2 linked regions of the Stegostoma tigrinum genome follow. The protein of the gene in region 2 purifies or fractionates together with the protein of the main gene of each other region. This does not show direct contact. Links are inferred from orthologs where the notes say so. Each region holds a gene or a part of one and is shown on either strand. Other genes may lie near its edges.

Region 1 (10,867 bases), on a different chromosome or scaffold from region 2:
CCTACCACTCTCTGGCTGAAGAAATGTCGTCTCATTTCAGTTTTAAATTTATCCCCTCTAATTTTAAGGCTGTGCCCCCACGGGTCCTAGTCTCCCCGCCTAACGGAAACAACTTCCTAGTGTCCACCCCTTCTAAACCATACATTATCTTGTAAGTTTCTATTAGATCTCCCCTCAACCTTCTTACCTCTAACGAGTACAATCCCAGGATCCTTAGCCGTTCATCATACGTTAAACCTACCATTCCAGGGATCATCGTGTGAATCTCCGCTGGACACGCTCCAGGGCTAGTATGTCCTTCCTGAGGTGTGGGGCCCAAAATTGGACACAGTATTCTAAATGGGGCCTAACTAGAGCTTTATAAAGCCTCAGAAGCACATCGCTGCTTTTATATTCCAACCCTCTTGAGATAAATGACAACATTACATTCACTTTCTTAATTACAGACTCTACCTGCAAGTTAACCTTTAGAGAATCCTGGACCAACACTCCCAGATCCCTTTGTACTTCTGCTTTGCAAATTTTCTCACCATTTAGAAAATAGTCCCTGCCTGTATTCTTTTTTCCAAAGTGCAAAACCTCACATTTACTCACATTGAATTTCATCAGCCATTTCCTGGACCACACTCTTAAACTGTCTAAATCTTTCTGTAGCTTCCCTACCTCTTCAGTACAACCTGCCTGTCCACCTATCTTTGTTAGTTTTCATAAAGCATTGAAATGTATTTGCTGGGTCTTGTCTGACCCTAGCTCCTCTCACTACATCGATCTGAAGAGAAAGCCAGAAAGGGTTCCTTTCTCAGATCCATTGTTAAACTAGGAGATAGATCCTGAGAACGCTCTCGAGTCCGATTTGAGTACTGAGCAAAGGTTTCCAGCAGGGAACTTTCCCAACTGTTAAGTAGAGCAGGCTAAAGTCAAAAACCTTCAGAAGAGAGTGAAATCTCAGAAATTCAGATATTTGACCAATTCTAACCTCTACACGACTAGGCAGGATCAAAACTGTTCAGAAAAAGGTTGTAGTATCATAGAGGACATTAACACGGAAAACAAAAGGTCGGCGGCTAATATGTCCAAAAACCAACACAACCCAACTCACAGCTGAATTTAGCAGTTCATAGTGTGCCAAGTCAAAAGAAAATATCATAAAATTATTAAGACCACTCTTGTAGTTGATGCCATATCTGTTGCACTGTTATGGTTACTGTTGTAACTGCTCATTTTCCTTCAAAACATAAAATAAAATTTAGCACTAAATGTTCAAACTCAAATTATGGATTGGCCTGATTGAAACAGCCCTTCATTCTAAACAGGCTAAAGCTGACTGGGGAAAGGGTAAAAGTTTCAATATTACAAAAGGTGAAAATTATTATCTCTATAAACAAACTGTTTAGAACACTTGTTTAATATGGACATCCTTTAACGGTTTGTCTTTCCTATGTCAATATTTGATTATCTGCGTTTAATGCCAACTTATATGGAGTCATAGAGTTATCACAGCTTTCACCTGCTCTTAGCGAAAGCAGGAAACAAAGGTAGACTCTGACTTTAAATTAATTCATGGGATGAGGGGGAATACATGAACATAAGTATTTGAAAAATCTTTAATCTCCCAAAAATAATTACAAAGGAGTTCTTAGATAATAAAATGTGAGGCTGGATGAACACAGCAGGCCAAGCAGCATCTCAGGAGCACAAAAGCTGACGTTTCGGGCCTAGACCCTTCATCAGAGAGCAAGGAGTTCTTGTCTAGATTGAGAAAAATATGTAAATATGTAATTCACAGAAAATTTGCTTAATAAGATGTCAGATTTGTCAACAGTGTGTTTGTAATATTTTACTTAATTCAACAATCAGGAACAATTGCTGAAGTAATTGGAATGTTTGGTCCCGCTTGAAAGATTTATTTTCATGCTAATCACCGACATTATGAGTTAATACTTCGAACGGTACATTTAAATAGAATCCTTTCAGCATTTTCATGGGCTCAAGTAAAACTGACTTATCAACGAGGGGTCAAAACGATATCTGGCATGACTCGTATTCTTCCTCAGAGAATAAATAAATGTCTGCTGTAGAGAATTTGGATCTAAGTCTGTTTCAATTTAGTAAGAATCAAAAAGTCTATGTTCAAAACATTAGACACCACAAAACTTGTTGTATGTAAAGCACAGAAAATTTAAATAGGAAATATTATATTTTATAATAGATACCAGCAGATGGATGTATAAAAATCTGTTCTGTTCTGAACGTCCATTGGTCTGTATATATGAAGTTGAAGACATACAAACAGAGTACTCCCAAACATTATAAAACACTTTTTGCAGCTTAATAGAGGTCACAAAAATGGTAACTGCCATAACTACTGTTGGTGTTTCTAGAATCATATTTAAATCTCCTCCCAACCACTTCTATGTAAAAATTGGGAACAAGAGAAAAAATATGCAAACGTTCAAATTTATCAAAGATCAAGGATGGAACTTAAACATTTGACTCCTGCTTTTAAAAACTGGTCTCCAGGTGACCGGTTTGGAATTTTGCTAAGTATCGCTGCAACAAATAGCAAATATCCAACTTAAAGTCTTTTTAAACAAGTAATTTCATCGAGGATATTTGGCATATTTTTCAATAGGAGGCACAGGTATTCCTTTAGCAAGCCACAGGAAGTCCTTGAGAGCATCCTGATGAGACTCAGTAACCAAATTCCTCATCTGCTTATATATACAAAAGGGAAGTGAAAGCAAGATTGAGGAAACCGGTTTTGATACACTAAATGGTTTAATCAACATGAACAATCAGCTACACTGGTTAGCAAACCAAGCTAGCCTACTAAACCATTAGAATGTATGGAAATATGTAAACTAAAAAGGAAAAGAAATTCCAGATACGGATGCATAATGTCATAAGAGCCATATGTCCTGAATTAGAATTTCTGACGTATTATAACAGGTATTCATCCTGAAAATTTCATTAATTTTGTTCATCAATAGATACATCAAGTAACACTAGGTAGAACTGAGACAAGAGTACTGATGATCTCTTTTAGCTTTTCAAGTCACTTCTGTAGCAACTGAAAACCGACAGGCTTTGAACAGTTTAGTGATGCACAAGGACACCTGTTGGGTGGGGGAGTTGGTGGACGTGGTGGTGATGGCGGTGGTTTGAGGGGATGGTCGCAGGCAAACAATTAAATTACACGTACCTGGACATTAACATCCTCCTTTTTGAAAATGAGACTGCGGACTTCATCAGGATCTCCATTAAAAATAGCTTGAACCAGTGGCGGCTGCAACATTGAAAGAAACTTAAGATTATACAAATATAAAAATATTTATATGACTGTGACATCACTAATTGACAAATATGGACCACATATATCACATAACTGTATGTAGGGTCCCAAACACTCAAATATCAGTGGGAAATGGAATAAGCAGTATGAATTTTCTCTAAGTGTGGTCTATATTCCTAGAAACTGTTGATACACAATTCAATTCAAAATGTCAATACATGCAACTTTCTCAGCTTATGTCAAACAAATGCCAAAAACCAAACTTTAAGATGCAAATGTTTGGACTCTGCATATTTTTTTTTCATATTACAAATTTATATTAAGAAAGCAGATAAAACCTGGATTTGCACATCTTATCAGTGTGAAGCTGATGCAATACTTTTGCAGGTATGATTAGACAAGCTGAGATATGCTCACCCTTCCATCTTCAGGTGGAAGTGACTTTGATGCATCCTCGTACTTTTCCTGAAGCTTTTTAGAAGTAATAACAGGAGAATCATCGTCCACCTCCTCCAGTACAACAATACACACTCGGCTCATCCGATCCCCTGTTTCCACACTACTTTCGTAATCTTTGATTCACAAACAACACTTGCACGTTTTGATGGAAAATAACAATCCTATTGTCACTGAGAACAAGTGACTATGCTAGAGATTTATGCCAGTTTTATCCATATGGTTTACATAAGTAGTTCCGGAGTAAACTCAGCGCTATTGCCAACACACACACTGATACTGCTGAGCTGGTTCCTTATTTGACAGAGTAGCCTCTATGCAGCGTAGCTGTTGTTATGGGTGACATGACACCATTCCTTAAATAGAAAAGCAGGCAAATCATGTAGTTTAGATTTTCAAATGATTTACAGAGAGAGAAACTGAGCATTTTCCATATCAGAAGGCTTCAAGACTTCTTTTCCCAATCAACAGATTTTCGTCAGGCTGAAGCAGTATCCAGGAGAAAGTACAAAACAATTTCAAATGAAAATTCATTTAATTAACTCCACTGCAGTGTAATTAAACACAGGCCAGATGAGAGTGAGAGCACAACAGAGAGAAAGAGGAAAAGGACAGAAAGAAACCATGAACAGAAAATAAACAGGATAGCCCATACAACAAGGTGGGCTATACAAGTGTGACCCAGAAACAAAATACATCTATTACTCCATTGGCGATTGTGCTGTGCCGAGCAGTCACTTTTCTCCAGCAGCTAGTCACTGCAGAAACTCCGACAGGCAATTCAATGAGCTGGAAACATGTAGGCCAGTTCACTTCAACAAATAAGAAACTGGAATTATCCTGAAAAATCTTGAATACAGAAATCCAAGGCAGCAGTCACTGAATTTCCTTCAGATAACTGACGCAAGTACAGGAGCTTCAATCTTCAATACTGTGACTGTAATAAAAAAGCCGCCGTCTGTGGTATTTTCCCATGTGCTTGAAGTCAAGCTTCTGTCAGTCTGCCAATTCAAGTTGACAATCCAGAACTGCTAGTTTCCTGCTTTAGGGATCAATTATTGTTTCACCGAATCCAATCCATAACCTAAAAAGCAGTCAGCAGATATCCAAAGCATAGCCACCATTTCAGCTTTATATATGCTGAATGCAGACAGAGCAGCAGAATTCTGGTAGCTTCTTCTAGCGTGCTGCTTTCTGGCTGCCCTTGCAATTTCAACTGCATGCCAGAGATGTGAATAAATTACTTGTCTGACGTTAAGGCAGCTTTATTGCAGAATAGCTGCAAGTTAACAGTTTCCATTCAAAGCTGCAAGGGAAAATGGTTTGTTGGCTTTGCTGACTCACTACGACAGGGAGGGTACAACATTATGAGTAATCCTTTATCTGTTTCACTTTTTTAAAAAGGCAATTAACAGTACTTCTTCCGTACAGTTCCCAGAGGTCTAAGAATGCACAAACATGGATAACTTCAAAACGGTTAACATTTCTTAAATCATTGCTCAAATGTCAGAAACTCTCAATGTACTCATAAAACTATGGCTGCTGGTGAAAACTGGCAAATAAAATTTAATTTCCTACAGATATTTGGCATGTAGTACTTTGGGCAACTGTCTAACAAATTCTACTTACAGAGGTCCCCAACATTTTTTAAAGTGGGTAATGAACAGACAATTGATTCAGTAATATGATTCTTTTGGGGGGGAAAGAGGGCCGTGAAAAACCTGTAAACACTTTACAGAAAAAAATGTGGTCTTGAACTTCACCCCAGTTTTGCTACTAAATACCTGGGAAAACCAATTTTTAAGCATGCAACCTGCAAATATTACAGTACAGCAAACATAAGACACTGTGGGATAGATTTTAATTCAAATTAAATCTCTTGTATCAGAATGATTGAATAGATGATGACAAAGTTTTACATGATATTTCTTTCTCATTATAGATGAAATAAGAAAAATGGGTGTACCTGCCCCAAATTTTCTATGCTTTTTGCTTTAGTAGTCAAGGGAGTAGGCCATCATGGCATTAGAAAGTTCTATCAGCTTATCTTACCCTGAAAGCTAACTTTCCTCTTAACAAGTGGAAATATAGACATGATAAATCAAACATTAATCTCACCAAACTATATCAGTTGCTATGCTAAATGCCACATTAGATTTTATACTTGGTTCAATTAATTTTCAATTTTATTTTTAAAAAAAATCTCAGCTTCAATATCCAAGTCTGATTAATTCCAATCCCCATTCGTTGGAGCTAATCCAATTCAGTCGGCAAGTTGGAATGTCCCTACAATGCCAGAAATGTCCTGCCTCTCATTAATTTAAAAAAATTACAATACTATCTTAATTATAGGTAGGTATGCTTTTCTAGTCTCAAAATTTACAAAAAAAGCATGAATCGTGTCACCTATTGGTGCTGTCAAGAAATCGTTCAACACAACTGCATCTTTACCAGCTTTGGATATCTCCCAAGATGGGTGCTCGAAATTTTTATCATTAGTTAAGATCACGGTAGTAGCCACTGGTGTAACAACACTGGCTTCACAAAATGGTAATTGAAATTAGAAAACATTATTTGCATACTTCCCAATAAAACTCCAAATATCCTTAGAGAGATTTTCAACCTTAAGGACCCTGACATAAACATGTAAATATATGAAAATTCAAAGGCCAAACATCCATAAAGCAAGCAAGATTTTGGGCTACGTACCATTAGAATTTTAGCTGAAGGGACAGAAACAAAACATTTATCGCATAGATGGTATAAATTATATTTTCTCCTAAGCTCTTACGTTCAAAACAACCACAGTTGATCTGATCTTTCCTCAAACAAAATTCACCAATCTATGCAACAACTTTGTAAATTTCTTCAGTACCCTCTGCAGTACAATCACATTTCTCTTGCAACACAGTTACCAAAACTGCATTTGGTACCGCAGATGAGAGGAATTACATATAGTTTCAGATTAACTTCCTTGACATTACATTTGTGCCTCAGCTATTAAAGTAAGTTTCCCTTACTGTTGCTTAAACAACTTATCTTCCTGTCCTGACACCTTGGACTCCAAGGTTCCACTTCTGTTAATCTGCAATTCAGTACACTCCCTTTTACGACATAATCTCTTGCTTTGCTTCCACCTCAAATACATCAGGCTTGCTCTTTTCCTTGACGGAAATCGACTGAGTTATATATTGAATTAGTTTTGGGTTCACTTTTTAAAATCCATTAGATTCAAATAATCCTTCATATTGTTTAGGAATTTATTAAGTGTAGTAGTTGGGATGTCGTGTTGTGGCTGTACAGGATATTGGTGAGGCCACCTTTTGAATGCCAAATTCAGTTCTGGGCTCCCTGCTACAGGTAAGATGTTGTTAAACTTGAAAGGGTGCAGAAAAGATTTACAAGGATGATGCTGGGACTGGAGGGTTTGGGCTATAGAGCGAGGCTGAACAGGCTGGGGCCTTTTTCCCTGCAATGTCAGAGGCTGAGTGGAGACATTCTAGGGGTTTATAAAATCATGAGGGGCATCAACAGGGTGAAAAGTCAAGGTCTTTGTGGGGGGGGGGGGGTCCAAAACTAGAGGGCATAGGTTTAAGAAGAGAGGGAAAAAAATTAGAAAGGGCTGGTGGGTGGTGTATGGATCGCGTGTATGGAACGAGCTGCCAGAGGATGTGCTGGAGGTAGTACAATCACGACATTTAAAAGACATCTGGGGGTACATGAATAGGGATGATCTGGCAAATAGGACTACATCTGTTAAGGATGCTCGGTTGGCGCAGTCAAATTAGACCACACAGTCTGTCTCCATGCTATATGACTATGTAAACATACCTACTGCTCAATCGAATGGCCGCACAAAATATCAACAGTTGATTCAAATTCAAATCAATCTCTCCTTAAATAATATGATGTCCGAGTAGTCAGGTGAGGGTGAGAGTGAGAAGGTGCCTTGCTAATAAGTTTTATTTAAGGCAAAATTGAATTATTTAAGTGATTTACGCTGTAAATAAAATATAACAGTGATGTGTATACCCCCTGCATTATGTTTCCAGTACTTAGTTTGTATTTTTACATAGATAATCAAGAGGTCCTTGTAATCAAAAATATTTGGTCAACCGGCACACTCTTGGTCCCATAGGCGCTGGTTAATAAAACGTTTGCAGTACTTTGGATTGGTAAGGGTGTCAAGGGTTACTGGCTGCAGAAAGAAAAGTAGTATTGAGATGATAATCAGCTCAGCTATGTTCTTGCCAAATGGCAGAGCAGACTCAAAAGACTTAAGACTGCTTGAATTCATTACACAGAACGCTTGCAAAGATTGCAAGCACTTATCCTGGGCTGTACTTCAACAAGTTCTCAGATGCAAAACTTCACATAGACAAAAAAAATTAGCAATCACACAGTGAGAAGACCATCACGACTGGCTTAGTTAAGGGGGCAGGTGGCTAAGAACAGAAGTGGAAATACGGACAATTATTCATTTTGATTAATTTCACAAAGTGACAAAAGTACCAGACATCAGCTTCCTATTCCAAATCCATAGATTTTACATCCACAATGACTTACACTGCTTGAAAAGATGATAATACCAAGCCCATTTTCATTACACCAAAAAGGGATTTCAATTTGGTAGAACTATTAGACGCTTTAAGTACTGATTTGTTTCCAATCAATTAGATTATAACTTTGAAACTATATAGTACAAATGCCAAGTTTCTAAGCTTCTACTATATTGATGTATCTGCACAAATTTCTAAAATACATGCAGCCAATGGTAAACTTCAGTGTAAGTCTGTTATACTAAAGCAATCTGGAAGAGCTTATAAATCAAGTCTTCAATGCTCCCTCCATTACAGCACTGTGGGGTGCACTGACACTGCATAGGGTGCAGTGGTTCAAGAAGGTAGTTCAGCTCCATATCCTCAAGGCAATTAGAGATTAGCAATATGTGCTGGCCTAACCAGTGGCGCCCACATTCCGAGAATAAATACCAAAAAAAAATTGTAAATTCTGTACAACATGAGACACATACAAGGCTATTGCAATTTTAGCCATTGACAACATTTTGTCAAATTGTACATTAGGAAAACAGTTAAACTTCCCAGCTGCATGATTCACTTTCTGTTAAATGTTACCCATACATGTATTTTGAATGAGTCAGAGTTTCAAAACCAAATTACCTCCATAATAGATTACATTTTATCTTGCAAAAATAAATAAGGAATCCCAATCCCAGACAAGCTGAGTTTACAATTTCCAAATTTCAACTTCAGCCAAAAATGCACTGCCTCAATAAGTAATTTGATAAATATATCTACATCCTTCACAAATTTATTAGTTTCTGAGAATGAAGTCTATGATAGGTGTGACTTCGATGACTAGGAAATCCCCATAACTGATTATCTCAGCTATGAAACACACAAAATATTTTGAGAGTTTCCAAACCTCAAAGAACTGGAATTTAGCAGTTTAAAAAAAAAACAGAATGTGTTGCTCTAACAAACCTTTAAGCCATATTCATCCTGGCAATCTAATAACGACAAATTTCAGGTTGAATGAACAAGACAGCTCCGTAACCACCGGTCAGAAGATTTGCTTCATGATGCTGTGGAGATAGCGGCATATAGTACACTGCAGTAAAATCAGCTTTGCAATAAGAAATCATTTCAGCCAATTTTCAAGCAGACTTTCATTGGGCTTTTACAAATTGCCATGCTATTTGCATCTGATCATGATACAAAGAAAACATATATGTCAGTATCACACTTATTTGTAAAGTTGCTGGTAGAAATGTGAAAAATAATGTAGTATCACTAAATGCCTCAAATCTGAGGTTAGTTAATGGGACATAGATACCAAAACAATCTGGGCTTCAGCTAATTCTATACTGGTACAAGTGGGATTTTGGACTATCACTTTTCAAAACACAAGTTTCATAAACTGAAAATATAAATCATGCTTGTGATATTTATTTGTGGAGTGTGGACATCACTGGCATTTATTAATCATTCTAACTACACTCAAAATCAATGGTTTGTCAGGCTATTTCTAAGAGTCTTCAACAGCTTGTCACATTACTGTAGATGTGGAGTCAATAAATGTGGAGCTGGAAAAGCACAGTTGGTCAGACAGCATCTGAGCAGCAGACCAGTTAAGGATTGCATATTTTCTTCCCTAAATAGCATTGAGGAACCTAATGTTTATTTCCAACAATGATAGTTTCATAGGTATTTTCTAATCAACCTTTACGGAGGCATTTTACACACCTCTGATGCAGGTGAGACTAGAACCTGAGCCTCTCAGCTCAGAGGTAGGAACACTGCCACTGCCCATAAGAGCCCGAGTTTCATCGACACCATTACTGAGACTACCTTTCAGTTCCAGAGCCTAATAAATGAAGTAAATTACATTAAATGAACCGAGTCTGTCCTAAGCAATAACTAAATCGTTAAATTTGTCTGCACGCTCAAAAACATCTCACACCTACTTTGCCTAATCTATTCTCATTTTAGTTGTTCCTGGGATGCTGGAAATGCCAGGGAGGCTTCAATTACTGCTCACCCAAACTTGCTTTGAGTTAGCAATCATCCAGAGTCCATGTAATTGGAGGCAATCTATACCAGACCAGGCTGATGTGATAGATTCAACTGTATTCAACCAGTTTTTTTTTTAAAAAGATAATCCTTCTGAAGAAGGGTCTCGACCCGAAACGTCAGCTTTCCTGTCCTCTGATGCTGCTTCGCCTGCTGTGTTCATCCAGCTCTACACTGTGTTATCCCAACAACTTTCACTGTTATTTTGCTGGTGTTAACCTACAAATTATAGAATTAATTGAATTTAATTTTACATTTTTCTCAGGTGGGATCTGAATTCAACCTCTAGATATTAGAGGAGTATAATTATTAGACTACAACACTCATCGGTTTGTAAAGAGAGATATAAAGAGAAACTGGGTCACAGGATAGGAGAAAAAGCCTCTTGAGACAGAAGGGTCACAAGGGTAATTAGGTTTATTAAAAAAGGCTATAATAGCTTTTGTTGATGGAAATTGGCTTGAAATGTTGGAAAAACTTGTTGACAGATACGACAATGAAAAGATGAGGAGAGATGTGCCATTTT
Region 2 (10,611 bases):
CAAGGTTTCGTTTGATCAGCAAAGAGCATCCCACACAGACCCATCCCCCTACCCTTCCCCGTAACCCTGCATTGCCTATGGCTAATCCACCTAACGTACACACCCCTGGACACTACGGATAATTTACCATGGCCAATCTACCTAACCTGCACATCTTTGGACTGCGGTAGGAAACCAGAGCACCCAACGGAACCCCACACAGACATGGGGAGAACATGCAACCTCTGTACAGACAGTCGCCCGAGGGTGGTATCGAACCCATGTCCCTGGTGCTGCGAGGCAGCAGTGCTAACCACTTAGCCACTGTGTTGATTGCTTTTTTTTTTTAAGAAAGAGCATCCCACCCATCCCATCCTACCCTCTCCCTGTAACCCTGCATTCCCCACGGCTAACCCACTTGGCCTGCACATCTCTGGATACTTTGGGAAATTTACCACAGCCAATCCACCTAACCTGCACATGTTGGAACTGTGTGAGGAAACCAGAGTAAACCCATACTGACAAAAGGGTGAATATGAAAACTCCACATTTGCCCGAGGGCAGAATCAAACCGGGGACCCTGGTGCTGAGAGGATGCAGTGCTAGCCACTGAACCACCATGCCACCCAAATCCTTTTTCTATTTTCAATACCTTCACACAGTTTCAAGTTTGTTTTTGTGTCATAACGTTTATACACATGCTAAAAAACATTACAATCACAGTGTGATAAAAAGTGAACAGTGCAGATGCTGGAAATCTAACATCAAAACACTGAAAATACTTAGCTATATACAAAGAAAAGAGCATCCCCACAGAATGGGACTTCTTCAGAACATAACATACTATAATCGTAAATACCCTGATTCAAATCTCAGTAGCATCTTAACAGATGTGATATGCGATGTGATATGCGATAATAATCAACAATATAGCTCACAAAACCTCAGTCAAAGCTTAGGTACTATTACACAACTGTGGTTCATACCTGAAACTTAAAGACACCAGCATAAACATCTAAATACATTCAAGGCTCATTTTTAACTATTTCACTTGAAGTGAATATTATGAAGCATCCTTTACCAGATTGTTGTACATTGTAGTGATTTTATAAGTTAATACACCACATAAATGCCTGGTATAAAGGGTTAAAAGAGAAGCAAATATTAAGATGTAGATTCTGCACTGCATGAACGGGAAAGCAGTTCACAGTGAAACATGCAGAAGTATGCTTGTATATGACCAAAACTGGACAATACCCTCAATGCAGCTGATCAAAGCCTTATTTAGAGAAATGTTCATGTTTATCAATTTCTATATGAGCACATGATACATTTCCATACCCTGTCGATCCTGTGGCACTACCTATAGGTACAGAAGACATAGTAGATGCTGAGAAATGAGAGGTAGTATTGAGATGTTAATGGGATAACATCTCATTAATTTTTGTGCTCCTTGTCTTCTCACACAGGGGTATGTGGAAACTGTCCTAAACTTCCAGCCAAAATAGGATTGGGTGGCTAATGTTTGTAAAGGTATGATTTGTAATTCTGTAAAAGGGTGAAACTTCTGTAAAGGTATGAAACTTCTGTTTCTACTGAAGTGGACAGGTCAGTGACCTCTGTTCAAGCCAGACACTTTGGCGGCTTGAAATCGTTACCAGTCACTTCGTGAACAATCAATGCTGTATTCTGTTCGCTATATGTTCCAAATGTAGTAAATGTTTTTTGTATCAGCCAAAATAGAGTATAAAAAGCGGGGACTGTCCACTGTTCGGGGAGAATTGCTAACGGAACTCAGCACTCTGTGCCAGGTTGAGTACAGCGATCCTCCACAGCTTGTTCTTGTTTAATAATAAAGGATTGTGTTTTTGTAGCCAGGTCAGTGTCTTGCTATTGCATCAAGTTTGTGCGGGTCTCCGAAAAACGAACCTAACAGTATTAGAAGAACGAACAAAAGACAACGAAAGCTTAATAGTATAATTTATAAAGTGTTACCAGAATAGACAAACCTAGGAACATGTGTATATAGATATTTGGAGGCCAATGGGCAAGTTAACAAAGCAGGAGATGCAATCCTGGGCTTTAAGTAAAAGACAGAGTACAAAATTCACGGAATTATGCTAAACCTACATAAAACACTACCTTGATCTCGACTGGGAGTACTCTGTTTAATTTCACAAAGAACATGAAAACTTTGGGGAAAGAAAAATGTATTAAACGGCTCTAAAATGAGGAATTACATTTATGCAAATAGATTTGAGAAATTGGGGGTTTGAATGAGATATTTGGACACAGTGAATAAATGACTGAAGCATGAATAATCAGAGGTGACAGATAGAAGGCAGAAAAAGTGAGGAAAAGAACGTGGCAATCCAGAATTGACTAAAGGCATAACTAATAATTTATCACTCCTGAATGATAAATACGAACAGTAACAAAGTGTAATTGGCCTTTAATTTCATATGGTATTTGCACAGTATAATATATTTCAAACTTGATGCATCTTCTGGGAAAATGGCAAACTAAAAAAAAAACTGAATGTATGAGTGTTTCTTTGATCATTAAGTATTTTAACTAATTACGCTTCAGTAAGATGAGTAAAGACACTCACCGAATCCAGCATTTGTATTACAAGAATGTTAACCAGACTAAAAATCATTGGCCCAATTAAATTACATTGCCGTTACCGCTCATTCAGCAATTTCTACTGAACAATACTACATTTAACATCAAGGAATATTCATTATAATCACATTCTCAAACATGTCACCAAAACGGTCCATGCATGTTAATCATCTACAATTTGTGGCTGAGGAATATATTTAATGGCCTACTTGAGCTGATGTCCAGGTAAAAAGGGCAACATGCTAGTTTGCGATTATTAGAGTTATAGACTTAATGCAGGCTGTTCAGGCAGCATTTATCTAAACTGAGACAAGAAGATGAACCAGCATAGCCATTCCACCTAAACTGCACATTTTTCTACTGAGAAGGAAAGCAGAGCATCCAGAGGAAACCCCAAGCAGACATGTGTAAACTCCACATTAGACAGTCGCCCAAGGCTGGAACTTAACTAGGTCTCTGGCGCTGAGGCAGCAGCGGGTCACCGTGCCACACCAAATGGGAACAAAAGTGTGCAGTAGAAGCTGAATCAATATTTTATCTTAAATAAAGAGCTTCTGTTTTTCTTCTCCATCCACATATTAATACTGAGCAGGATCTTGTAAGACTTAATCACTACTGCAACCTGCTCTGGCATATTCAACAGTATCTAAACACCCCCAACACCTCCAAATACACTACAGGAGCCTATTACTGTTACTAAATGCCTCTATTATCTCATCAAAAACTCCATCCTGTTTTAAGCAGATGTGTGATTTGCAATCACCCAGTCTTCCGGTAGCATTTCTGTACATTAAAAGGTTATAGCCAGTACCTTCACAATTTGAATGCTTGTTTCTCTCAGTATTCTCAGATGCATCTCGTTGAAAGTAACATTTCTTTATCAATCTTTAGCCTCTCTAGCATCACAACTAATTACTCTCTCACTTGAACCATTTAAGTCAATACTCATTAGCATTTGAACAATCTGCATAACAGTTTAGCATTAATAACTAAACCTCTCCACAACTCAACTCCGAAAGTTTCCACTCCTGGTACAGTCAACATTGAACCCAAAAAGAAGCTATAGTTTTAATCTGGAGTGAAATCTTCTACCTCAACCTAATTGAAACAAAAACTTACTTTTGGATCAGAATTAACCGTGATTAGTCAGCAACAAGTCAAGTTCCTCAAATGAACAAAATTTGTGAATTGTTTTACGAAATGATCCAATCCTTCGTTGAAGCAAACTACGTTTCACTTCAAGCGTCCCAGTTCAGCATTCAGGGGAGGCTTCTCACCTATTAGAGGTCCATTCTCCGGGAGTGGTGGGGTTAACACTTGTGATGTTTTGATTGCGGCGACATTACGCTGTCAATGTAAAGATCCACAGATAATAGCGCTAAGGAAGTCTACCTGCCACACATTAAATTTATGTCAAAACCCAAATATAAACAAATGCCACAGAACTTAGGACACAAGAGGTAAGGCCCCAAAAACGTAAGGGTACAGCCTAAAGCTGTAGTCTTGACAGGTCCCATTGCGTCGCTACAAACATAATCGACACTGAGGCGTCAAATAGATTTAGCAATAGACAGACACAAAAAAACATACAAAATAAAGTTCGGGGGTGGGGGAGAGCGGAAACTGTAACACGTTACCTTTAGGTCATTTTCTGGAAGATATTTGCACTGCCGAGCTATCTCCACATACTTATCCAGGTCCAGAGGCGCCATTTTGAGACACGGACTGAGCAAGCCCCAGGCCAATGACGCGCTTCCGGTATCTAAAGCGCCGGCCGCTGGCTAAAGAAACCGGCTTCAAACCTTCACCTTACCCCGAAACGCGTTCGATCGTTAATGACCACTTTGTATTGTTTGAAGATTGACCCCATTCCCCAGGACACACCGAAACTCTTTGTTTAATCCCACAGTTTTTACGCACCGCCCTCTCCATTGGCCGGCTCGGTGGTAAAGTTGAAAGTTCAAGGGTTGTAGATTCCCTTTAGCAACACCCGAGAAAAAAATTGGGAAGAACGACAGGTATGAAGCATTTGAGGCATAGGCTTATATTGCTGTAATTATAGCGAGTAACAGATGCTCTAACGGTTAGTCATCGAAGTGCTGAAAATCAGTAAATGGAATTTGGAGGGAAGGGGAATTGGAAAGTGGCATCTTTCAGTGCTGGCCTTTAAATCGCTGGAGTGACACTAAATTTCACATCAAACTTCCCTGTTTGGAGAAGATCGGCGTTTGTTCAAATATTCTCAGAATGTTCCATTTAAATCAGAAGAACATGAAGAGGCTGCTGTAAAAGATTGTAAAACGGGGCACGTGTCCAATATTTAATTTGCTCCTCATTGTTTTATTTTAAAAAGCCCACGAGATTAAATCAATCGTGACTGCGTGCAAACTGATGACGAAAAGACAAAAAAAAGTAGCAGTGATTGTTCAGTTATGATACTGACTTAGCAAATCGGGGCATAATCACAATCTGTGCGCATGATAAGAACCTGGAGGCATTGATTGTGATCTCTGAGGAAGACAGTGTCGACCTTCAAGAGAACATGGACATGATGATAGAATTGGTAGATAAAGGGCAGAAAACCAGACAATACGAAATAAAAATTACAGTTCTAAAGGATGCACAGCGCAGAGAGATGTGAGTGTGCATAAAGCAGTGAAGGTAGGACAGTTTGAAAGAGTGGCTGTTAAAGTGCACAGTTTCTTAGGCTTTATAGTTAGGAAGGAAGAACCAAGCAGATTTTGTTAAACTTGCTTAAAAATGCACTGGCAATTACATTTCATCCAGCTGTATGCATTGCACTGTACAGAATCTGGAAAAGATTCACGAGAATAATCTCCAGGATGAGGAACTTCAATTGCTTAGAAAGATTAGTGCTGTCATTATGTTTTTTCTGGAAGGCAGAGAGGAGCTTTGTTAGATGCTTTCAAAAGTCATGAAGGATCAGGTCAGAATGGAGAAGGGAAAAACAGTGGCCATTTATGTGAAAGGTTGAAGAACAAAAGGACACAGCCTTTGAGAAATTGGCAAAAGAATCAATGGTGATATGCGGGGGAAAATGTTTTTGATCCCATTGAGTGGTCAGGATATGGAATGTACATTGAAGGCAGGTTTAATAAAGGCGTCTAAAGGAAGAATGTGCAGGATTACAGGGAGAATGCAAGAGAATGTCATGAGATAAATTGTTAATTTTGAGATCCACTACAACACAACAGTTTGAATGGTGTTTTGTGGAACTGAAGTGAAGAATACAGTAGTTATCACTCAACTGCTAATATGCATAGTCTAGGGATATCAGACTAAGACTTTTAGCATTTTTGATTTTTCATCTCCACCTCAAAAATTGGTAGGAAAGCTTGAATGAGAAAACAGATTCAGAATTGCAGACAGCCATTGACAGGTAGTTTACGATATTTACATGCACCAATCTAAGTCGTAATGCCAATGTCAGATTTTATAAAGATGTGGAGGTGGACAAAACCTGAAGTCACATGATACCAGGTATAGGCCAACAGGTTTGTTTAAAATCACAAGCCTTCAGAGTGCTGCTCCTTCATCAGGTGAAGGCTGATGAAATCTTCATCTGGCGAAGGAGCAATGCTCCAAAAGTTTATGATTTTCAATGAACTTGTTGGACTATAACCTGCTGCCATATGACTTCAGATGTTGTAAAAGTTGTAAATTACCTTATGGTCGCATTGAGACTATAATATGCTGTGCTATGGGTTGATTTCATTTACTATAATTAAATAAATGCAAGTAATTTTTATACATTAACATAACATAAAAGTTTAAATCTTCAATGTCTGACAGTTTTATTCCAGATTTTTCGAAAGGCTATGGAATTGCTGACTGTCTTGGAGCCAGGGGAAACACCCCAAATAGCAACATGGTAGGCTGTCAAAGCATGTGTATATTTAACCCGACACTATATTGACAGGAATTGTAACTGTAAAGTGATACCTTAACACAGAGATAATGTCCCTATTTTTTCTTTTGTTTTATTTATTCACATGGTCATCATTTATTTCCCATTCCTGTTGTAGTAGGTCTGTACCACATGTAGGCCAGACCAGCTAAGGATGGCAGTGAACCAGATGAGATTTTTTTTTCAACAATTGAGCCACTTCATGATCATCATTAGACTCCTATTTCCAGACTTCTATTGGATTCAAATTCCATGACTGCCATGAGGTAGTAGGAATTGCAGATGCTGGAGAATCTGTAATAACAAGATGTAGAGCTGGATGAACACAGCAGGCCAAGCAGCCTCATAGGAGCAGGAAAGTTCCTATGATGCTGGTTGGCCTGCAGTGTTCATCCAGCTCTACTCCATAACTGCCATGGTGGCAGTCAAACCGGTATACCTAGAAAATTACCTGGCTCTCTGGATTAACAGTTGAGTGATAGCACCACTAGGCGATTGTGTTCCTTTCTTTTGATGTTACAACTATACATGAATAACAAGTTGTGGAAAGACGATGTGTAAATCTGTACAGGACTGCTTGCCATGTCACTTAAAAAAGACACTAGGGAATGTGCAGAAATATTTACGGAAATTATAGCAGAAAACCTGTTTACACAGGAGTTCTGCATGGCTTATTGTTGGAACTGTTGCTGTTTGTGATGTAAGTTATAATTTGGACTTAAATGTAGGGGTATGATCAAGAATTTCATACATAGTGCCGAAGTTGGTATGGTGGGAAAGAGTGGCATAACTGCATGGAGTTTTCAAAGGACCAATCAGTTGGCGGGGCAATATAGGTTGGATTTTAACCTTGTAAAGCTAATGCACTTGGAGAGGGATTTCAAGGCAAGGGATTTTATAAATAGTTGGACTCCGAAAAGTAGTGAAGATCAGAGGAACCTTGGTGCATATCTTCAGATCCCTTAACATTGTAGGGCAAGGTAGGGTAAATAAGGTAGTTAAGAAGGCATATCAAATAACTTGCTTTTATTAGAGGCCAAGGATTTTATTCAAAGACCGAGGAAGTTATGCTAGAACTAGATAAATGCTTTTGAAGCCACAATTAGAATACTGAGGGCAGGTCTAGTTGCCAAAGTATTGGAAGAATATAACTGTATGAAGAGGGTGCGTGGAAATTTACCTGGATGCTTTTTGGGCTGGAGGTCTGAGCTGTACAGAAAGACTGCATAGGCTGGGATTGTTTTCCTCGAGGCAGCAAAAGGTGAGAAGGGGACGACCTGATGGAAATGTTTAAGATTGTGAAGGGCATAGATAGGGTGGATAGGAATGCATTTTTTCCTTTAGTTGAGGAGCCATTAACCAATGGGTGTAGATTTAATGCAAGAGGTAGAAAGCTAACAGGACAGTTGAGTTTTTTTTCCACTAAGAGGGTGGGGGGAGTCTGGGAGTCATTATCTAAGTCAGAAACTTTTGTAACATTTAAACAGTATTTAGCTATTACAGGCAGTCACCAAATTGTGAATGGGCTCCATTCTTGAATCCATTCACTAGTCAATTTTTACACAAGTGAGTAAGTGAAGCTTGATAATATAAAACAGCCTTTCTTATGTACAAGGCCAAATGTTGGATCTTTAAAATTAATATTCATACACCTCGTATGGGATTGCGTTTGTAAGTACGAACATTTGTGCATCGGATGTTGATAAATTGGCGATCCCCTGTGATTTACATTGCCATATCCTCCATGACTATGGGCCAAGAACTGGAAAATGTTATTCATGCTGTCCAATCTTTGACTGGTGCGGACACAATGGGCTGAATAACCTCTCTTCTGTAAATGTCCAAGGAAAGACTTGGTGTCTTTTCACTTGAAAAGAGAAGACTGAAGTCTGACCTAATAGAAGTACTAAATTGGGGGAAAGCTAACTACAGCAATATTAGGTAGGAACTGAGGAATGTAGAAAGGACGTAACAATTTGAGGAAATCTTTTAAATACTAATTGATTCAGGACCAGCATGCTCCTGTGAAAGTGAAGGATAGGGATAGCAAGATTTGGCAACCTTAGGTGACAAGAAATTGTGAATTTAGAAAGAAAAAGGAAGCATAGGTAAAGCTTAGGAAAATGAGGACAGACAGAGGCCTTGAGGAATATATAGAAAGCAGGAAAGAACATGAACAAGGAGCTGGGGTAACAATCTTAGCAAATGGGATTAAAGAAAAGGCTTTTTATACTTCTCTAAAGAGCAAGATGGTAGATGGGGAAAATGTAGATCCACTCAAGGACAAAAAGGGAATTTAGGCATGGATCTGGAAGATGCGGGTGAGGTCCTTGCATTGGCAATCAAAGTGGAGAAGGACATGGTGGATTCGGAGTCTAGAGAGTGGTATATTTGATATTTTAGAACATGTTAATATAAACATTTAGAAGGTGTCGGGTGTTTTGAAAAGCATTAAGGTAAACGAGTTCCCAGGACCTGATAAGAGCTATCTATTTCACAAGGAAGAGGTATTAGAAATCCTACAGAGTGTGAAGATAGATAAGTCCCTTGGGCCAGATGGCATTTATCCTAGGATCCTCTGGGAAGCCAGGGAGGAGATTGCCGAACCTTTGGCATTGATCTTTAACTCGTCATTGTCTACAGGAATAGCGCCAGATGACTGGAAGATAGCAAATGTGGTTCTCCTGTTCAAGAAGGGGAGTAGAGACAACCCTGGTAATTATAGATCATTGAACCTTACTTCAGTTGTTGGTAAAGTGTTGGAAAAGGTTATAAGAGGTAGGATTTATAATCATCTAGAAAAGAATAAATGATGTGGTGTATATGGATTTCAGCAAGGCGTTAGATAAGGTTCCCCACAGTAGGCTATTGTACAAAGTGCGGAGGAATGGGATTGTGGGAGATATAGCAGTTTGGATCAGAAATTGGCTTGCTGAAAGAAGACAGATGGTGGTGGTTGATGGGAAATGTTCATCCTGGAGACCAGTTACTAGTGGTGTACCGCAAGGGTTGGTGTTGGGTCCACTGCTGTTTGTCATTTTTATAAATGACCTGAATGAGGACGTAGAAGGATGGGTCAGTAAATTTGCAGACGATACCAAGGTTGGTGGAGTTGTGGATAGTGAAGAAGGATGTTGTAGGTTTCAGAGAGACATAGATAAGCTGCAGAGCTGGGCTGAGAGGTGGCAAACGGAGTTTAATGCGGACAAGTGTGAGGTGATGCACTTTGGTAGGAGTAACCGGAAGGCAAAGTACAGGGCTAATGGTAAGATTCTTGACAGTGTAGATAAACAGAGAGATCTCGGTCTCCATGTACACAGATCCTTGTAAGTTGCCACCCAGGTTGACAGGGTTGTTCAGAAAGCATACAGTGTTTTAGCTTTTATTAATAAGGGATCGAGTTCCGGAACCATGAGGTTATGCTGCAGCTGTACAAAACTCTGGTGCGGCTGCACTTGGAGTATTGCGTACAGTTCTGGTCACCGCATTATAAGAAGGATGTGGAAGCTTTGGAAAGGGTGCAGAGGAGAGTTACTAGATGTTGCCTGGTATGGAGGGAAGGCCTTACGAGGAAAGGCAGACGGATTTGAGGCTGTTTTCATTAGGGAGAAGAAGGTTGAGAGGTGACTTAATTGAGACATATAAAATAATCAGAGGGTTAGATAGGGTGGATAGGGAGAGCCTTTTTCCTAGGATGGTGACAGCGAGCACGAGGGGGCATAGCTTTAAATTGAGAGGTGAAAGATATAGGAGAGATGTCAGAGGTAGTTTCTTTACTCAGAGAGTAGTAAGCGAATGGAACGTTCTGCCTGCAATGGTAGTAGATTCGCCAACTTTAAGTACATTTAAGTCATCATTGGACAAGCATATGGATGTACATGGAATAGCGTAGGTTAGATGGACTTCAGATTGGTATGACAGGTTGGCACAACATCGAAGGCCGAAGGGCCTCTACTGTGCCGTAATGTTCTATGTTCTATCCAAAATACTGAGGGAGGCAAGGAAGGAAATTGCTGAGGCGTGGTATGAAATTTTTGTATCCTCTTTAGTTGTAGACGTGGTCCCAGAGGACCGCAGAA

The links. The genes of interacting proteins can lie anywhere in the genome.
Region 1: the proteins of ppp6c (region 2) and ankrd28b purify together in Homo sapiens (affinity purification with mass spectrometry; 9 studies listed by BioGRID and IntAct, with this or other methods). This does not show direct contact. The link is inferred for Stegostoma tigrinum from reciprocal best matches to the Homo sapiens genes PPP6C and ANKRD28.

The regions. Positions count from the first base shown.
Region 1 is NC_081355.1:102,765,224-102,776,090, forward strand, and holds the start of ankrd28b (serine/threonine-protein phosphatase 6 regulatory ankyrin repeat subunit A), read right to left. Parts: upstream 5,049-10,867; 5' UTR 3,833-5,048; coding exon 3,710-3,832; intron 3,287-3,709; coding exon 3,203-3,286; intron 1-3,202. UniProt on the Homo sapiens protein: Regulatory subunit of protein phosphatase 6 (PP6) that may be involved in the recognition of phosphoprotein substrates. Involved in the PP6-mediated dephosphorylation of NFKBIE opposing its degradation in response to TNF-alpha.
Region 2 is NC_081382.1:26,602,903-26,613,513, forward strand, and holds the start of ppp6c (serine/threonine-protein phosphatase 6 catalytic subunit), read right to left. Parts: upstream 4,378-10,611; 5' UTR 4,317-4,377; coding exon 4,242-4,316; intron 1-4,241. Other genes in the region: rabepk (rab9 effector protein with kelch motifs), read left to right, coding at 6,444-6,496.